Linked DNA regions of Ovis aries. The protein of the gene in region 1 interacts with the protein of each later gene in a biochemical or structural test. Links are inferred from orthologs where the notes say so. Each region holds a gene or a part of one and is shown on either strand. Other genes may lie near its edges.

Region 1 (3,881 bases):
TTGGGAGAGCCTCACCTCTGGCGTGACCCTCCACAGTGATAGGCTCCTCAGACAGGCCCTGGGGAGAGGTCCCTTTCCATGAATGTACCAAGGCTGACTAAGGAAAACTGGGGCTACCGCTCCACAAGCAGGGAGGAAGGCAATCAGGACCTAAGGGGGTTCTTAAAACATCTCCTTGTGTGGTGCCAGTCAGGGCACCACAAAGGTTAATGTTAGGCCAACTACCACAACCCCACCCAATGGAGGCCCCCAAGGTCACAGACTTCTGAGACAGCATGACAGCTGAGGTGCTGGCTGAAGGCCAGGGGGGACACAGAATGACTGGGAGACAAAGTTATAAATAGCAGCTTGACCAGCTGCAGGAAAAAAGGACTGTGGCTTCCACCACAGGTTTCCGTGCTTGCAGTGAGAGAAAAATCCTTTATTTTTTATCAATTGGAAACTTTCTTGATTTGACTTATTTTGTTAACAGTCATGGAAAAACACTGACACAGGAAAAAAAATATCAAGCAGATTAACTTTTCTTAAAAAAGCCCCATTCCTTACTACTTTCTTCCAAGCCCCTTTTCCTCCCCAGAGGCAACCACTGCCATCAGTTAGGTTTGCAGCCTTCCAGACACTTTTATGCATTTTCATATATAGTTTGGTTTTGTAAGGTTTTATTTTATCAATACATCAAGATTATACATATTGCTCCACAATATGCTTTTTTGACTTAACATTATGTCTTGGAGATCTTTCCATATCAGTGCATACCATTTTTAACTGCTGCATAGTATTAACTCCATACAACTAAAAAATCTAACTTGCTCTCAGGGACATGCATCACTTTACATTTTGAAACGAAGCTACTCCCCAAACTGCCCTGAAAAGGCTGCTATTGTTACATTCACACCCACAGCACGAGTGCTGCCATTTCTTCTCTTTGTAGTCCAAACTAGATATTCTCATGAAGAAAAACTATCACTTTCTGATGGACACAATCAGTTTCATTGTCGCGTTAATTTACACAGCACTGATTGCCAGTGAGGTTGATCGTTAGCAGTAGCCAAGCTGTTGATGCTGAAAACAGCTCTCCAACTGTTGGGAGGAGTTTGAATTAGTACAGTCACTTAGGAGAGCAGTTTGGCAATATCTAGTTAGAATGAAGATGTTCTAACCCTAAGATGCCCAAATTTTACCTCCATGTACTTAACCCCTAAAGAAATTCACACATGTGTACAGAGGAACATCTTTTAATTATGTTCACTGTTGCAAAACACTGGGAAGAAACTAAATGTCCACCAATGAGAGAATAGATAAATAACTTGTGGTCAGTGTACAATGGAATATTTAGTATACAGCAGTTAAAAGGCATGTATCAAAATGAGGAAATCTCAGAAACAATGTTGAGTGAAAAAAAGAAAGCTGCAAAATGATACATTTTAGCAATTATGTCCATTTAAAAAACTCTATATTGGTTATAGAGATACATACAGGCATATACATATATATGTACACAAATACACATGCACACACACACTTCAAAAAAGGCAGACAAGAAGTAATCAAACCATTTCCTGGATAGTGCTTACCTCTGTGGAAGCAGGTAAAAAGAACAGGTGAAGTTCTTCACCTGCAAAATGTATAGTCATTGGAGAGAGAGATCTGAAGCCAATATGGCCAAAGGTTCAAACCTGTTCACTTTGTGTGGGCGGGTACCTCGGTTTTTCATAGTATTTGTCTGGCACACATTTCTCTGTTCCTTTTGTGTCACTGTGTTAATGTATACAGTCAGCAGACAGTTTTAGTTTTTACCCATTCCCTCTGAGACTTGCTTTACTTTCTGAGACTTGCTATTTTCTAAAAGAGAATTTTAAGTCCTTCACCTCTACAGTCTGTTTGGATGTGTTCCTACCATCATTATTTTTACTATGCTTTTTCACTGTTTCTTTCCTTCTCATAGACTGACAGAATAGTCTTTACTCAAACTTTGCCCCTTTAGTAGTTCAACAGCCACACACTTTACTCCTACTTTTAGAAATAATTACCCTTACTTTTGTTGTTGTTGGAGTCAGTATTTCCAATGAAACTGATTTTTTTTTCCTAGTGGGAACACCAAAAACCCTATGTTGAAGGCAAATGCAAGAAATCAATTATAAAGTCACTTAGTACCACGGTTTTAGACGAAACCAAACAATTCCACTATACCATGTAAAACCAAAAGGAGAACTTTAATAAGCTTTTACGGCACTGCAATTACAGGAACATTAACCCATAACATGCAGCAGAAATGATGATGCCTCTTGGACAAAGTTAACAGATAAACTTGACATTACAATCAACATCAACATGTTCTACTGAAAAAAAAAAATGCAACATTTCACTGCTCAGGTTAGAAAATGCATCTTCTTGCTGCAATCTCAAGTAGCACTTAGAAAATTTGGTTTTCCCTTTCTAACCTCTAAAACACAGTATGATTTTTGTAATGCAATCATACACAATCATTTTCACGCTGGAAATAATCACAAGGAATCAACAGGTGGAGATTAATCGACTGACTGATTTCATTGCAATGGTTAATTTGGAGAGGGCTCCTGCAGTATTGTGGATTTCAGATGGGGAAAATCATCAGACCAGGAATAAAGAACCTTGGTCTTAAAGTGGGGGAGGGAACATGCAGCGGCACACAGGGCAGGTGCCTGACTTCTGAAGCCAGATGGACACACAAGGCTTGTGGAAATAGTGGTGGCATGGCAGCTCCGTCGCCACCTCCCCCTTCGCATATTCACTGCAACAGATGGGGCAACACATCTCCTGCCCCACCGCACTGTGATCTTCTGTGATCAGGATCTCAGGAAGAGTGTCGATGCTCTCCTTGCTGGCTGGTGGATTGGCCACCTCCACATCCACCGCCAGAGACTCCAAGTGTGCCAAGGCAGTTTCCATTGCCTGGGCCAGGCGTTCTTCAAGTGCCATGTATGTGAGGAACTGAGGATCCACGTATGAAATGGCTTCGGCTACCCCCAACCCATCCGCGAACCCATCGAAGAGGCTCCAATCCACTTCGAGGTCTTCACTGACACTGGAGTCATCTTCAAGGTTGTTGTTGCCATCCAGCATGAAGACACCAGGCTGCAGAAACTCCTGACCAGAATCATTATCCCCCTCGCTGCTGCTCTCGTTTTCATTGTACTGGAGCCAAGGAACTTCCCCTTCTTCGGGGGACGCCCTTTCCTCTTCCTGGAGAGAGGGCCCTCGAACTTCTTCAAGTTCATTGTTGCCACTGCTGCCAGCACTGGCACCAGCACTGGCATTCACTCTGGCTTGCTCGGCTTCAAGCTCTTCTTTTCCTGGCAGAGTCTCCCAGCTCTCGCCGCTGGATGACAGATTTTGCTCCCGACCACGATACTTGCGACGCAGAGCCGCAGTCCACTCTTTGTCACTGTCAGAGTCTTCTTCAAAGTATTTGTAGTAGTCATCACTGTATGTCCAGAAGTCGGGGTCGGCCATGGTTCGTCGCCGTCTAGGCACCTTTTCGGGCTTCACTTGGTCACTCCTGGCTTCCCTCTTGTCTTCAGGGTACTTCGGCTCAGGGTAGCCACTTGAACCCTCACCTCTGCTCCTTCTTGCCAGGCCATCCAAGCGGCCTTCATCAGTGCTGGCAGTCTCCCTCCACCTGGAAGTGCTATGTGGCATATCATCATCATCATCGGTATCAAAAAAGATTTTTGGTTTCACGCAGTTAGGACTTGCCAGATTTCTGATTTTGGGCCTCACCACCGGTTCCTCTGCGCTCTTTGGAGTGTTTTCCCCACCACAAATACTCACAGGAGCCCTGCTGGGACATGCAGGTAAATTCGGCTCCTGTCTCTCCCTCTCCAGGTTGTTGCTGTTTGTGA
Region 2 (3,559 bases), on another chromosome or scaffold:
ATTAATGCCTGGGGATATACTGTTAGATCTTGTGTGGAAGAGAACGTTATTACTCATAGTTTACCAGATTTTAGCATTCTTGCATCACAACACAGAATATCATTTTACATTTAGTATTGCTTTTCCAGTGCCATTATCAGATTGCATTTTCATAGTAAATTACAACAAAATTTTATGCTACCAACATTTAATGAAATTTTAATAAGGTTGTGTTTTGATGTTATTATTCAAATAATGTGTTGTGAATTGCTTTCCTTTGAATATATTTGCATTAAAGAGGAACTCAACTTGATTTGGTTCTTTGAACAGTTTACCCACTTTCTGGTAGCTTTAAGAAGACAAAGAGGGAAATTAAGTTTCGCCTTTGCAAGTCAGTAAATAGAAAAGGAACCCATTTGCTAGGATCTGTGGATGTAATGGCAGCAGATTACAGATGGTTTGAGTTAATGAAATGACTCACGTTGGTTACTAAAGCAGCACAATTAAAAATATAAAGTAGATATTTCACAGATTATGACGGATGATAACCTGGAGTTTTCGCTTTCTCATTGATCTCTAAGGCTAGAGACTCACATGTTAGCAATTCTTGGTCAGAGATGCCCCAAATTAAATGGTAGTCTCTTGAGACCGACTTCTCTGTTGGTAGCATTCTCTTAGCCATTTCTGCCAGATCTGTGGTTGTGAGCCCAAGGCCCATCTTTCCATGAGCACGTGCTTCCAATAGATAAAACTCCCCGGATCAAGCAAAAACCCTCCACTTATCGTGCTTTCTGGGGTGACTGTGCCATAGCTGTCCGGCTGAAAGAGTTGATTACACAGAATATCAAGGCTGAAAGGTGAAAAGACACGGAGAAAGAGCCCTGTATGCGAGACGAAGCTGTTTACCATTGTTTCTAAACAGACTCGGGCTTTAGAGAAAGTAACTGGTGGAAAATGGTGAGAAGGGGCTGGCGAAGGCAAACTAGTAGTCCTTGGGGTCTTTTAATTGTCTTTACGTCGTTTCGTGTGGAAAGAAATTGCTCTTACTTCCTTTCCACGCTCTTCGCCGTATTTTTCTCCCATATTCATCCTGGGAGTTTCCTTCACCTACATACAGCCCTGATTTCAGAGCTTTTGACTCTCAAGTTTCTACAGCCCTGGCCTGGGTACGATCCTGAGCCAAGCCGCACACTCGCTCAGGAGCTCTGCTTCCTGTTCGCCATCTGCAGGGTTTGGTAATAACGACGACACTTAATCATAATACAGCCCGAAAGGCTGCAAGGAATACCCGCTTCTTACCGCCGCCGTCCGCGGCCGCTGGCCAGACCGGAGCGACCTCTAGACGCGGCGCGGCCTCGATGACGCAACGCGCAGCCTCCGTGACGCAAGCGCGCAGCTTCTGTGACGCAAGCGCGCAGCTTCTGTGACACAACCGCTTCTCCTCCGGGCCCTCCCACAGCCCCACGGACTAACGGCTAACCGACCTTCAATCCCTGCCACCGCTGCCGGTTACGGGGAGTCCGCGCGGTCGGGGTCCCGCCGCCGCGACATGTCGCAAAAGCCGAAGAGCCGGGGCCGCCCCAGTTCCCAGGGCGAGCGGGAGCCGAGTGGCGGCGGCGAGGAGGCCCCGAGCACGTCTCGCGGGCCGGGCGGCGCCGCGTCGCAGCGGCGGGCCCAGGCCTCCCCCGCGCCGGGGCCGCGCTCGCAGAAGCAGCTGGAGCTGAAGGTGGCGGAGCTGGTGCAGTTCTTGTTGATCAAGGACCAGAGGAAGATCCCTATCCGCCGCACCGACATCCTGCGGCATGTGGTCGGCGACTACAAGGATGTGCTCCCAGAGCTGCTGCGGCGGGCGGCCGAGCGCCTGGAGTACGTGTTCGGGTACCGGCTGGTGGAGCTGGAGCCGCGCAGCAACACCTACATTCTGGTCAACACGCTGGAACCGGTGGAAGAGGACGCGGAGGTGCGCGGAGACCAGGGAACGCCCACCACTGGGCTGCTCATGATCGTGCTGGGGCTCATCTTCATGAAAGGCAATACCATCAAGGAGACCGAGGTCTGGGACTTCCTGCGGCGCCTCGGGGTACACCCCGACAAGAAGCACCTCATCTTCGGGGAACCCAAGAAGCTCATCACCGAGGACTTCGTGCGGCAGCGATACCTGGATTACCGGCGCATCCCGCACACGGACCCCGTGGACTACGAGCTCCAGTGGGGCCCGCGCACCAACCTGGAGACCAGCAAGATGAAGGTGCTCAAGTTTGTGGCTAAAGTCCACAACCAGGACCCCAAGGACTGGCCGGCGCAGTACTGCGAGGCTTTGGCGGACGAGGAGGCCAGGGCCAGACCCCAGCCCGCGGGCCCGAGTCCAGCCACTGCCTCTGCCCCAACCCCTGCTCCTGTCTCTTGAAATCTGAGACACACCCCAGGGCCCTCTCCCTCCCCGGGGGAAGGGCTGGAGGTGGGAGGAAGCATCTTGATTGTTTAAATGCGTGGTAGTTCCAGGAAGTGTTTGCAAACTTTAATTCTTGTAATGTTGTAAGTCGTTTTGATTCTAAAATTTCATTTAGAGGGTGACTTGTTTTGTTTTGATTTGCTTCAGTGTCTGTGTTTTTTGGTGTAAAGATCTTGTTAGCTTTATAAAGCGAATTGGAAAACTTCCTACCCGGATCTGGAACTGCCAAGGAAATATAAGCGAACTGGCCCTTGTCCGGCCTTTGAACTGCCCCACTCTGTAAAGGAAAAGTCTTCGTAAATTGAAAACGAAAGTGTAATTGCCTATATCCCCTATTACCTTAACGCAGCTATTTAAAAAATCTGTTTTCTATGCATGTAAGCATTTTGAGTCATTCTAAGCAATGTGTGTATTGTAGTTTTTCCAAATAACTTTTTACATTGATAATTACTATGCTGTGTGGCTGACCATTTTGTTCAATTTTTTTTGCTACTATAGTTATAATAAATACTGTATTTTTGAAGCAATTTAGCATTATGCATTTATTTTAACCCTAACTCATGAGAAATTTCATGACTGAAAACTAGCATCATAAGGAAAAAAGAAAACAATTTTTGTTACATATCATTGAGGTAAATAGTGTTTTGTTGAAGTTGCTTTACTTTTATATGTGTGACATACTGGATCATGATGTAAAATTATTTCTGTGGGTCATGGAAAAGTTGATAAAAGTCTTAGTGATTAACCATGCCTATTTGGGAATCAGACTAGTGGGTTCAGAGTCTGCCTCACTTACAAATTTAAGGAGATTAAGTTGTACACAGACCTTTCCTTACCTATAAAACGGGTTGATGCTGCCTGTTACTGTGTATGGTAGTGTGATAATTAGGTATGGAAGTTTATGTAAAGTTATGGGCACAAATTTGTTTAAATTGGGCTTTTTTTCCTTGGCTTAGGACTGTTAAAGTTTTTTCTTTTTAACTTTTTCTTTCATTCTCTTGTAAATCATGACTGTCCTTCTAGTCCGACTCTACTGTGTGGTTTATGGAAAAATAGCTCACGATGGAGCCCACATAAACAGAGCAGAAAGTAAGATCCAACTGGGCTTGGAAGGGGTGTCTGCAGTGT
Region 3 (4,262 bases), about 8.4 Mb from region 1:
TCTTGCTGGGAATACCCACAGACTGAGGAGCCTGGCGAGCTACAGTACAGGGCATAGCAAAAGAGTCGGACATGACTTAGCAACTAAACAACAATATTCCATTTTACATATACACCATATCTTTATCCATTCATCTGCTGATGGACACTTGGGTCGTTTCCATATCCTGGCCATTGTAAATAGTGCTGCTAAGAACACTGGAGTGCACACACCTTTTCAAATTAGTGTTTTCACTTTTTCCAGATATATACCATGAGTGGAACTGCTGGATCATGTGGTAGGTTACACAGTGGTGACAATGCTTTCAGCTGTACCCTTACGTATTCATACCCCAATTAAAAATTTAAAAGGAAAAAAAAAGAATAAAAAGTTTGAAAATGGGAAAAAATTTCAAGTAAAAAGTCATCACACTTTTCAGCTCTTAACATTTATAACTAGGAAGTAAATCAAGTACCTGATATAATTAGACTTGTGAAAGAAAGCTTACAAAATGAAATTTTTATATCCAGACTATGTCTAATAAAATATTGAGTATTTTCTACTTCTCATTAATAAACAGAGACAGAGAGAGAGAAAGAGACGATCAGGCCAGGACTGAGTATCTGACAGATTTTAACTCCATTAACTCCACTACCATTTAGCAAGTTACTACCCACCTGAGTCTAGGTTTTGTCATCAGGAAAATGACAACGATGATACTGACTTTAAACAGTGGTTCTGAACATTAATTAGGGAGCCAACTACATTAAAAAGGTTGTTTATAAAGACAGGCACTAAATTCATTTCAATTTACCACACCAACATTTATGGGCAACATTATGAACACGCAGTGAAAAGAGCAGTGAGAGAGGAAAGCAAATACGCTGTAGGACAGCATACAATGCACCACAAATTAACACACTGAGGAAGAGGTCAGGATAGAGGCAGACGTGTCTTCCCAGAGGGGCTGGTAACTGACAGTTCACCTAAATGGTAGCAACAAGCTAGCCAGGAGAAAGACAATATGGGGAACTTACATGGACAGATTAGATCATTCGAGTAGGCAGTAAGTGTTAGTCACCCAGTCGTGCCGACTCTTTGCAACCCCATGGACTGCAGCCCACCAGGCTCTTCTGTCCATGAGATTTTCCAGGTAAGGATACTGGAATGGGTTGCCATTGGCTAGTGACCACAGGCAGAGGGAAGAAGAGCGAATGTTGGAAGCAAAATGACCAACAAATGCAAAGCCACTGTCATAAATATATCCTGGCTTCCCACTCATATATGTATAGTCTGTGCCCTCTTTTCCTTTAGATTTCTGCTCAAATGTCACAATACCAAGGAGGCCTTTCTGCCTTTCCTATCTAACATAGTACAACCATCTCTATCACAACCTATTATATATTTATTTTATATTCACTCATTGTCTCTCAACTATACTTAATCATCCCTTATTTTGGCAAGTCTAACACCTTACAGAAGAGGGAATAAGTTGCTTGTTCAAGGAGACTGCTAAATTCCGCTTTATAACCTGAAATACCCCTCACCCTCATTATAAATTTACTTTTCTCTCTCTTGGAATTGAAATAAAAAATTGTGATAATTAATGAACAGTCTTGCAAGACAGTTTAGACATGATAAATGGTGCAAAGACGTAAATTCACATTGCAACAAATGAAAAAGACAAAATTCATATTACACCAAATAGATAATACATGCATAGCTCCTAAAAAAAAAAAAAATCTTTGTCTGAAAAATCTGTCAACTTGCTCTTCAATGTTGCTACTGAACAACAGGAAAAGATTTACATAATAAACCCAACTCACATGAATTAATAAATTTGTGATTGGATGTCATCTCTGTCAACCATTTCTGCCCCGTGAGAAATTCTAAAGATGGGAAAGCTTCCCTCTTCTAAAGCTGACACCAAGTTATAAGCAAAACTCACTACATTTGTCACTCAAAATTTGGAGATTCAGTTGTATACCAAAATTTTTTTATGTCATAGGCTGAAACCAGTGCAATATCTGATATGGGATTTCGTTTAGGGTAATAAATAAATACAAGTACATAATCTGAACAAGTTCCTACGTCTCTGAGAGCTCTAAAAATTTTCTGCTCCATTGCTGATTTTTAAAAACAACAAAAACAGCCTTGCCCTTGAAATTGAAGTCACACCTAATTTTATAAAGTATTAATAAATAATTCACTGTCCTCCGCAGAAGCAGGACCAAAGAGAATCAGAAGTCTTCAGGGGAGTAAAATACTGGGGTCTAAAGGGGAAAAAAAGGGAAGAATGTAGGCTCAGACTAGGGGAAAGAAAGAGAAGTCTCTCGGCCGTTTCCGACTCTTTGCGACCCCATGGACTGTAGCTTACCAGGCTCCTCCGTCCATGGGATATTCCAGGCAAGAGTACTGGAGTGGGTTGCCATTTCCTTCTCCAGAGGATCTTCCCGACCCAGGGATAGAACCTAGGTCTTCCGCATTGCAGGTAGACACTTTACCGTCTGAGCCATCAGAGAAGCCAGAGTCGGGGAAGAGGGTAGCAAAAGTTCTGAAGCTAAGAAGAGGGCGGGGTGGAAGGTGGGAGTAAGAGGTAGGAAAGAAATCGATGGTACAGGGAATGACCCAAGTTCATAAAGACCGGGAAGAGGATTCGAGATTAAGAGGTGAAGTGAAGAATAATCAGGGATAAAAGGACCATAAGAGTCAGAAGGAGGGGATGACGGCCAGCCATCTCCTGAGGAGTGAGAGAGTGAAGACAGAGATCAGAACCACAAGCGTCAGAAACATCCTTCAATGTACCCTGGAAATGAATTCTTTCCACCTCGTGGCGAAACAAAGAGGAAAGCGTTCCTGAAGTGTTTGGGGACTCACTTGTGAAAATTATCAGTCCCTTTCTTTACACTCACCTTGGTGAAGAACGCCGCGACAAGATGAAGGCGTGACCGGAAGTGCTAATTTCTTTTGTTTGGCGGAAGCTTTTGCCCAGGACGCCACACCCTCACCCCCGCCCCCATCACTCCCCACCCCACCTCCGCCTTCACTCCAGACAACTTCCTGTGCCTTTCTAGCAAGCTTTTGAAATATTGTATCTCAATGGCTCTCTCACCAGATGCGCACCTGGATAGTGACGTAGGATCTCTGGAAGAAGGAATCAGTAACTTTTTACAAATCCTACTAGCCCTAGTCATCCAAGGAACTGTAGCATCTCTGCCAAACTCTGTGTATCCTATTTGTCACCTCGCCTTGCTGATTCAGACGTTCAAGTACTGTTACTTCCTTAACTCTCGGATGTCTACAGCTACATATTTATCATACTGATTAACTGCTTTCTGGAATTAAAAAAATAAGTTCATTTTAATTACTAGTATAAAAATTTCAAGATGTAATTAGCCTCCAATTAAAATAAATAAATTTAAATTTAAAAAAATTTCAAGATCTTTAAAAAGTCTTAAATCTGAATCATTTCCGTCTTGGAATGGTATCCAGAGAGTAACATTCCATACTTAAAATTTGCAAAAGAAAGTGAACTCATTTAGAAAGCATTCTTGTGTACTTTTATACCCCTCCCACCCAAATGAAGACAATGATAATTGACAAAAAGTTTCAATAATAAAAATAAGCCTTACTTTGGTTAAAAGTTCAATATTGAGTTACCTATTGCTGTTACCTCCAGAAAACTCCTCTAGGGCCAAAATCTGTACCCCAGTTCTTCTCTTTTGTGGTTATTTTCAGCCAGTTTGCAAGTGTACCAAATACTGCGTTAGACCCAGAGACATGGCACTAGAAGCCACAGCCTAGGGGCTAAGGCAACATTTAAACACGTAAGAGTCTAGCATAAAATAGGTGATTATAGATGCTTGTGGAATGAATAAGTGACCAAAATGTGGTCAGGGCAATGACAAAGGCTAGCACAAGGTCTTTACTTTTGCTAGTATTTGTATAGTTCATTTCAGCATTTAACTCATGTTTTGTCATTCAACCAACAGATTTTGAACAACCACTTGGTGTAAGGTTCTGTTTCTGATATTGTCCATATGAAGAAGATTAAGATAGAATCCTGGATTTCAAGACCCTCCAATCAGTGAGGGAAATGAACACATAAAGAACTAGTAGCACTATAATGTGACAATAATAATAGATGAAGAGAAGACAGTGTTGAAACTATGGCTACTCCATCGACTGGTGAATAATTAAAATCTAAAATACTCCTTATATACTAGAGGGTACTCAGTGAAGACTTGTTTAATGTTGAATACATGATGGAATGGATGAATGGA

The links.
Region 2: the proteins of PJA1 (region 1) and NSMCE3 form a complex in vitro, tested with the Homo sapiens proteins (2 studies listed by BioGRID). The link is inferred for Ovis aries from reciprocal best matches to the Homo sapiens genes PJA1 and NSMCE3.
Region 3: the proteins of PJA1 (region 1) and MAGED1 form a complex in vitro, tested with the Homo sapiens proteins (2 studies listed by BioGRID, with this or other methods). The link is inferred for Ovis aries from reciprocal best matches to the Homo sapiens genes PJA1 and MAGED1.

Annotation. Positions count from the first base shown.
Region 1 is NC_056080.1:62,082,327-62,086,207, forward strand, and holds the end of PJA1 (E3 ubiquitin-protein ligase Praja-1), read right to left. Parts: coding exon 2,638-3,881; 3' UTR 643-2,637; downstream 1-642. UniProt on the Homo sapiens protein: Has E2-dependent E3 ubiquitin-protein ligase activity. Ubiquitinates MAGED1 antigen leading to its subsequent degradation by proteasome. May be involved in protein sorting.
Region 2 is NC_056071.1:25,979,512-25,983,070, reverse strand, and holds NSMCE3 (non-structural maintenance of chromosomes element 3 homolog), read left to right. Parts: upstream 1-1,404; 5' UTR 1,405-1,528; coding exon 1,529-2,386; 3' UTR 2,387-2,958; downstream 2,959-3,559. UniProt on the Homo sapiens protein: Component of the SMC5-SMC6 complex, a complex involved in repair of DNA double-strand breaks by homologous recombination. The complex may promote sister chromatid homologous recombination by recruiting the SMC1-SMC3 cohesin complex to double-strand breaks.
Region 3 is NC_056080.1:53,694,733-53,698,994, forward strand, and holds the start of MAGED1 (melanoma-associated antigen D1), read right to left. Parts: upstream 2,939-4,262; 5' UTR 2,892-2,938; exon of another isoform or gene 2,785-2,891; intron 2,536-2,784; exon of another isoform or gene 2,412-2,535; coding exon of another isoform or gene 2,357-2,411; intron 1-2,356. UniProt on the Homo sapiens protein: Involved in the apoptotic response after nerve growth factor (NGF) binding in neuronal cells. Inhibits cell cycle progression, and facilitates NGFR-mediated apoptosis. May act as a regulator of the function of DLX family members.